Oryctolagus cuniculus: one gene and its partner. The protein of the gene in region 1 purifies or fractionates together with the protein of each later gene. This does not show direct contact. Links are inferred from orthologs where the notes say so. Each region holds a gene or a part of one and is shown in the gene's direction. Other genes may lie near its edges. The genes, in order: DEPTOR and FBXW11.

Region 1 (4,564 bases):
CATGGGTCACAACTTATATTGGGATCCATTGCTCCGGGGCTCAGGGCTCCCTTGTCACAGCACTGGTGCCAACATGACCTCAAGGAGTCAGTTCACCTGTCCTTCCTGAAATTGAGAAGAAGGGTTGGTCTTCCTACCCAGTGGATCACAGTGTGTCTCATATGTCAAGCGAAAGGTTAAGACAATATAATAAGCAAACAGGTTCCTATTTCCCATTCTATATTATAGAATTAAAACATGAACAACAGGCTCTGTGACTTCCACTTCTGAGGAATGATTGCTATCTTTTACGTAGAATGAGACTCTTAGAATCACATTCACCCGGAAGTAAGTCTCTTTTGGTCAACATTTCCAACGTGGTCAATTTAAAAAAGGTTAAGGAGCAGACCATTTCTTCTGGCAAACTCTAATACAACTGCTGAACATACGAGAGAGTTGGACAACTGTTCTCTTTCTGAAATGTGGCTAAGCAGGCCCTGGGGATCTGAGAACCAGGATGCAAGGCCTGCCTGGCTTTCTGGGTGTGAAATTAAGGCATCTCACCTTTTTATCCTTATGTTTTCTCACTCGTAGCTTGGACACAAAAATACTAACAGGCCAAACCAAACAATATAAGCCAAAGGTTCAGCATCATGTAAAGCACAGAATACTCAAGAAATTACCAAGAATTTTAAGTTGAAGGATAGTTTTGTTGAATATTGGAAAAGGCTAGCATGATCTTCCTTGAAAACAATGAGAAAAGAGTAGTGCAGCATAGCAAACCTGCAAGATAGTATAGTCTTAAATAGCAAAATTGGTACAGAATATGCACAGAAAATTGTTTTCATCATTCCTTTTACCTTCATGTTTATTCTGTAAACGCCTACATAGCTGCAATTGAGGGATTATGCATTGTTTTTTCAAAATAGCTTCACACTAATCTGTAGTTAGGGTACTGAGGCTTTCATATATGCAAAAACTGCCACAAGCTGCATAAAATGTCAATGCACAGATAGCTCTTCACTACCTCAACATGAACAGCTGGCCTTCCTGCCCAGGCTTGGAATCTGCCTGAAATAGAAATACAGCACATTTATTTGGCACTAGGCACAGTTCCTTCCATGCTTTCTTAAAGGTGGACAATACCATTATAGACCCTTTTAAGAGGCAGCGTTTTAACACGATTCTGAAGCTAAAATGGCCCTTATTACCCGTTTACCCTAGACAGGCGACCTCACCTGCCGCAGCTGAGTTAACACGAACATCCACGTCTAGTCAGTTTGTGACTTTTCCCAATGATTAAACAAGGCAACGACGGGTCTGATGCATTCTATTGCAGCAGGTGTCAACAGGTGGTAGCCACAATTATTTTGATTTTGTAATCAAGAAATAAAGCACGCTCAGTAGGAGATTAGAGAAGTGGACTGGAACTCAGGTCTGTATGATTCCCAGAGTTCTTTATCAAGTACACCTGTAAGGAAAGTCCGCTTTGGTGAAGCGGGTTGGCACGAGAATGTTCAATCCCTCCATGCCCTGCAGCGACACACACATCCTACCTTCCCCGGTCACTGGGAATATGCATGCTGTTACTCTTTTTACTCGGTAGCAACTGGTATGGAAAGGAAAACAGGATCGCCTGCACCCTTGCTTAGTAGCTTCCCGGCTTGTCCTCAGGTTTCCACGGCACGAGCTTCGTGGATAAAGAAAAGGGGGCTCACGTGAAGCAACCTCCACCTGCACCCACAGCTCACAAGCAGCGCCCCGCCCAGATGTTTATATTTTCCTCCTTCGGCCCCGCCCCCGGACCACGCGGGGTTCTGGACACGCCCCCAAACTGGAGTTCCAGGGGCTGGACTCGCCGGGCGCCTGAGCCTACCCACTGGGATTCCCTCTCCAGCCAATCCCGTCTGAGCAACGGTTCTGCCCCGAACAAAGATGGCGGGCAAGGCCTCCGTGAGGGCAAACTGATCCGATCAGCAGAGCCCACGCCGGACAGCCTTAGCAGTGGAAGCGGCGCGGCCCGGAGCATGGAGGGGGGCGGCAGCGCTAGCAGCGCTGGCAGCGCTGGCAGCGACAGCAGCACCAGCGGGAGTGGCGGGGTGCAGCAAAGGGAGCTGGAGCGCATGGCTGAGGTCCTGGTCACCGGGGAGCAGCTACGGTAAGGCGAGGGCAGAGCCCGTGGGCTCGCGGTGGCATTGCCAGCCCGTGCCCGCTGCAGACCCGAGCGCACGCGCGCCGGGGCTCGTGGCTCGCGCGGCTCGCGCGGGGCGCCGGACGCCCGGGCGCGTGGACGGTCCGCGCTGCGCCCGCGCCGGGCTGCTGCAGTCCTGCGGACTCGCGACTAGCGTGGGGCTGCGGAGGGGGCTGACGCGGGGAGCGAATGGTGCGCGCGGCGCCCTAGCCCGGCTGCTGCAGTCCCACGCGGGGCAGCCTCGCCGCCACGCGCCGCGCGCTGTCCTTTGCCAGGCACCTGGGTGCTGCGGAGCCTTTGGGCTGACAGCCTGCGCCGAGTCTGCCCAGGGCGCAAGGGCGGTCGGTGCGGGGCCGCGAGCCGAACCCAGCCTCTGTACTCCACTGGTCCGCTTCATTCCGGTTTCTCGTCTCGCCGGCACGTTCTCCTTCTCTGCCCTGAGTCTTGGTTGCTTCACCTGTGAAATGGGGCCGATCACCACGCCTGCCTTAGGTCGAGGGCTGGGGCTGCAGTCGGAGAACAGTTCTGGAACCCTGTTCCTGTCACCCAGTTGGCGCGTCCTGTGGGGCCGCAAGGGGGCGTGGAGGCCCCTTGTCCGGTTGCCCCGCTGCGGTGCCGACTCCCCAGCGCGCGCGTTTCAGGCACTGGGGCAGTGGAGTCCGTGGTGGCTCTGGGTCGCCAGCCTGAAGACTTGCCAGGTCTCGGCGTGCAATACCCCTCAGATTCCCCCCATGCCATCCGCGGCCCTTTCTGGTCATTCTGCTTGGCCGTATGTTTAAGGATTTTGCTTATGGTCTGGCTGGTTCCACAGCTGCCCTTCGTGTGGTCATAAATCAATTTACCAAGAAAGGGAAAAAAAAAATCCAGATTCGCAGTGCTTTAGCTAAAAAGTTGCATGCGGGCCCCTAGTCCTGCCAGAACACATACGCCCCAGTTCCTTCTAGTTCCTGGCTTGAACTTTCCCAGTCCATTTCTGGTTTCTGCTATGGCAGTGTTCCCGGACCTGAAGGAGAATCTTGCAAAGGGCCCTGCAGGATCCATAACCACCCAGCTTGCTGCAGTAACTTTGAGGAAGTAAACATTGGAACTCAAAATTCATTGAGTTTAACGCTACAAAAAGGCAAATGGCGCATTTCTATTCCTTGTTAGTTGTTTTTTTTTTTTTTTTTTTTTTTTTTTTTTTTTTTTTGACAGGCAGAGTGGACAGTGAGAGAGAGAGACAGAGAGAGAAAGGTCTTCCTTTTGCCGTTGGTTCACCCTCCAATGGCCGCCGCTGCAGCCGGCGCACCGCGCTGATCCGATGGCAGGAGCCAGGAGCCAGGTGCTTTTCCTGGTCTCCCATGGGGTGCAGGGCCCAAGCACCTGGGCCATCCTCCACTGCACTCCCTGGCCAAGCAGAGAGCTGGCCTGGAAGAGGGGCAACCGGGACAGAATCCGGCGCCCCGACCGGGACTAGAACCCGGTGTGCCGGCGCCGCAAGGCGGAGGATTAGCCTATTGAGCCACGGCGCCGGCCCCCTTGTTAGTTTTTTAAATGTGTGGTCAGAATGAAAGGGAATTGGGAACTTGTTTTCTTTCATCAAGAGCATTTCCTAATTTAAAAATTAAAATAAAACTTTCCTGATTTAATTTGAAATATTTTAATTAATTCTACAGGCAGAGAAACAGGGATAGAAGGAGGAAGTCCCCCTCCATTGGTTCACTCCCCAGATACCTGCAGTGTCTGGGGCTAGGCCAGGCTGAAACCAATCCAGGCTTCCCACGTGGGTGGCAGAGACCCAGCTACTTGAGCCGTCACCTGCAGCCTGCCAGGGTGTGCATTAGTGAGACGCTGGAATATAGGGGGTGGAGCTGGTCCTTGAACCCAGACCTTGGATGTATCTGAGATGCAGGTGTCTGAAGCACTAGGCCAAATACCTGCCCTGAAACACTTTCTTTTTAATAGTTTCTTTGCTCTTCCTTACTGTATCAACCTTTTGCAAGGCCTCCATTGGATAGGGTTACTTCTGTTTTACTTCCTTTACAAGTACCAAATTGTGAGGTAGCTCTGTTTGCCCAGCAAGCAAGTTCTCCTTCAAGGTGCAGCTTAAATGGCCTGTCTTCAGGGGCCCAGAACACTTGCACTCCCCTCTCTGCTTGTAGCTCTCTGGACGGTGAGAGGTTTGAAGCCCATATTGGAAAAAGCTGGAAGGCTATTTTACTCAGAAAGTAAACCTGGGATTAGTTCCTGCTCAGCCACAGCAGCCAAGTGTCAGCATTACATTGTTTTGGGAAGTGGATCCCCACTTTGCTCCTCACTAGAGTGGGACCTTGGGCAAGTTGTTGAATTAAGAATAGTGGGGTGGGTAGGGGCTGGCACTGTGGCATAGTAGACTAAGCCTCTACCTGCACCACT
Region 2 (3,813 bases), about 87 Mb from region 1:
CTTTAAAAAAAAATGGATACAGGGAACAGGTATTTAGTCTGGAGACATCTGTGTCACACATTGGAGTTTTGGGTTAGGTTCCTGGCTCTACTTCCTGACTTCAGCAGACCTTGAGAGGCAGCAGTGATGGCTCAAGTAATTGGGTTCCTACCACCCATAAGGGAGACCTAGATTGAGTTTCAAGCTTTTGGCTCTGGCTGTTGCAGGCATTTGGGGAGTGAGCAAGTGAATGGGAGCTTCCTGTCTGTCTCTCAGAAAAAAAGAAACAAACAGAAAAAAGAGTGGACTCAGTTTAGAGGACAGAGTCTTTTCTTGGCTTTCTCAGTAATTGAGCAGCATGCATTTCTCTTTTCATTTAGAGTCTGGGATGTGAACACAGGTGAAGTTCTCAACACATTGATCCACCACAATGAGGCTGTACTGCACTTACGCTTCAGCAATGGACTCATGGTGACCTGTTCTAAGGACCGCTCCATTGCCGTGTGGGACATGGCTTCGGCCACCGACATCACTCTACGCCGTGTCCTGGTTGGCCACCGTGCTGCTGTCAATGTAGTAGACTTTGATGATAAATACATCGTGTCTGCCTCTGGTGACAGGACCATCAAAGTAAGTGAGTCTTTAATCATAGCCCTGCCTGCTTCTGTCTCTTATGGACCAGAGAGAGAGTGGAGACAGGTCAGTACATGGCAAGGTGTTTATTCTTCTTTAATGTTCATGAACCTGTGCAGCCTTCCCATTCCACATACTTTTAGTGTCAGGCAAGGTAGGAGGAAGTCATCGATCCAGAAAAGAGAATAATAGTTTTCCATTTCACGAAATGACATTGTTGATAATTTCCAAGAGGAAGAGAACCACACCATTGAGCACACATTGTGTGCTAGGGGCTTTATGTCACATCTCACTTAACCATCCTCGTACTTTTTGTTATTTAGGTGTTGCCTCTGATTCATAGCCATGGCTCAGAGGGTGAGGGAAGAACTCTGTTGAAGGTCACACAGCTAGTAGCAAATCTTGTTTTATTCACTTAACTTAGATAGCTTGCCTTGCCATTGACCCTGGGCTGGATATTGGAGATTTGGTGAGCCTGACCTGTCCATGCTTTCAGGAAGCTCAGCCTGTGGTGTGTATGTGAAGGCAGAAATAGGACGAGAAGTTGTAGCCTGGGATGGTCCACAAGATATGGTCATTGCAATTCTGATTCCAGTGTCCATGAAAACTTTTTAAAATTCTAGCTTTCTTCTGTATTTATGACAACTTTACTGAGATGTAATTTCCATATCATAAGATTCATTATTTTGAAGTCTATAATTCAGTGACCTTTTAGTTTATCTGAAGTGTTGTTTAAAATTACCCCAATCTAGTTCTGGAAGATTTTTATCTTAAGAAGCATCATACCCATTATGAATGAATCCCCACATGCCCCTTCCAGTCCCTGGCAGTCACTACCCTGACACCTGTCTCTATGAAAAGGCCCGTTTTAGATATTTTATACAATTAGAATCATACATGTGGCTTGTGGTTGTTTCAGTTTGGTTTTGACTATTATGAATAGTGCTACTATAAACATGTATAAGTTATTGCATGTTTGTGTATTTTTATTTCTCTTGTGATGGTAACTCTGTGTTTAATATTTTGGGGAACTACCAAACTATTTTCCAACATGAACTTACTGTTTTGCAAACATGCCAATGGTATATAAGCGTTTGAACTTGTTCAAAAAACTGTCTTTTAATGACAGTTAAAAGCTCTAGACAGTATTCTGATACCTAGCTCCACATAACATGGACTGTATTGTATCAAACTTTGGTTTAAGTGGCCTGGAAACTGAACACGTAGTATTTCTGTGTGTTGATTTATTCCATAGTCACAGCAGTGAGTACAAGACCAGTGCCTGAAGTCAACAGGGTCTGGGCCTTATTGCAAAAACAACTGTTTTGTAATATCAGCTGGAAGGTTTTTCCGTATTCTTGTCAACAGTTGTTATTACCTGTCTTTTGTATTACATCTGTCCTGATAGATGTACAAGAAAGAGTATCTTTGGTTTTGCTTTGCAGATTATAATAACTGATGGTATTCAGTATCTTTTCATATGCTTATTGACCATTTGTATATCATCTTTAGAGAAATATCTGTTTCAATCTGTTGCCCATTTTAAAAATTAGGGAATTTGTCTTTTTATCACTGAGTTTTAAGTGTTCTTTATGTATTCTGGATACAAGACCCTTATCAGATACATAATTTGTAAATTATTTTACCCTGTTTTATGGGTTGTCTTTTTTACTTTTTAAAAAATTTATTTTATTTATATAAAAGGCAGAGTGAGAGAGAGAGAGATCTTCAATGCTATTTCATTTCCCAAATGACAGCAACATCCAGGGCTGGGCCGAGCTGCAGCCAGAAGTCCAGAACTCTGTCCTAGTCTCCCACATGGATGGCAGTGGGCCAAGTACCTGGACCATCTTCTGCTACTCTCCCAGGTGCATTAGCAGGAGCTGGATCAGAACTGGAACAGCCAGGACTCAAACTGGTGCTCTGATATGGATGCTGGCCTCGCAGGTGGTGGCTTAACCCACTGTGCCACAACATCAGCCCCTTCACTTTCTTTTTAAAAATTATTTGTTTGAAAGACAGAGAGAAAGAGATCTTATATCCACTAATTAATTCCCAAATGCTTGCAACAGGTGGGGCCGGGCCAGGCCAAAACCAGGAGTCAGGAATTCAATCCATGTCTCCCACAAGGAGTTATCACCTGCTCTCTCCTTTGGTGCACATTAACAGGAAGCTGGAATTAGAAGCAGAGCCAGGACTTGAACCCAGGCATTGTGGAATGAATGTGGGCATCCCAAACAATGTGTCTTAACTTGTCCTCTAAATGTCTACCCCTCTTTTCACTTTCTTATGTTGTTCTTTGATGTGCTAATGATTTTAATATTGATGACATCAAATTATATTTTTAAATTTTGTTGTATTATTTTTATTTTGTTATTATCATCTAAGAAATCATTGCCTGATTTAGTGTCACAAAGATTTACTCCTCCGTTTTGTTTTAAGGGTAGTTTCGGCTCTTATATATAAGTCTTTGATCCATTCTGAATTACATATTTTATATGGTATAAGGTGGATATTTATCTCTTGTTTTGTATGTGGATATTCATTTATCCCATTTGGCTACAAATGCAGCTGGTAAAATGATTCACACCTCTCAGGTTGCCGTATATCTCTGCATTTGGCTTCCTAATATATTAAATATATTAAATAGATCTATAAGCATGATTTCAGAAAAGTGGGGATTATTTAATCCACATACATAATATTAGCATTGATGTTTCAAAACTAGTGGAGCTATTTAAGAACTTATGCTGGGGGCAGGTATTGCAGCACTGTGGGGTAAGCTGTAACTTTGAATATGCATGTCTCATATCTTGAGTGCCAGTTTACATCCCAGCTACTACTCTTCTGATCCAGCTTCCTTCTGGTGTATCCGGAAGGCAGCAGAAGATGACTGAAGTGCTTGGGTCCCTTCCACCCACATGGGAGGGCTGGATAGAATCCCCAGCTCCTGGCTTCATTCCAGCCAATCTCTGGCTTTTGCAGGCATTTGGGGGAGTGAATCAGTGAATAGAAGATTCCTCCCTGTCTCTGTCTATTTCTGTCTTTCTCTGTTTTTCTGCCTTTCAAGTAGATGAAAATAAACATCAAAAATAGACCTATGCTGAAAAAGAGGAGGGTATGAAAGATAAAGCTTTTTTTTGTATCAGTTACATTGGGTGTGATATGTCAGCTGGCGTAGAAATGTAAAATCTGACACAA

Evidence for each region.
Region 2: the proteins of DEPTOR (region 1) and FBXW11 purify together in Homo sapiens (affinity purification with western blotting; 4 studies listed by BioGRID, with this or other methods). This does not show direct contact. The link is inferred for Oryctolagus cuniculus from reciprocal best matches to the Homo sapiens genes DEPTOR and FBXW11.

Annotation. Positions count from the first base shown.
Region 1 is NC_091437.1:145,636,962-145,641,525, forward strand, and holds the start of DEPTOR (DEP domain-containing mTOR-interacting protein), read left to right. Parts: upstream 1-1,677; 5' UTR 1,678-1,748; coding exon 1,749-2,137; intron 2,138-4,564. UniProt on the Homo sapiens protein: Negative regulator of the mTORC1 and mTORC2 complexes: inhibits the protein kinase activity of MTOR, thereby inactivating both complexes. DEPTOR inhibits mTORC1 and mTORC2 to induce autophagy.
Region 2 is NC_091437.1:58,572,794-58,576,606, reverse strand, and holds part of FBXW11 (F-box/WD repeat-containing protein 11), read left to right. Parts: intron 1-359; coding exon 360-609; intron 610-3,813.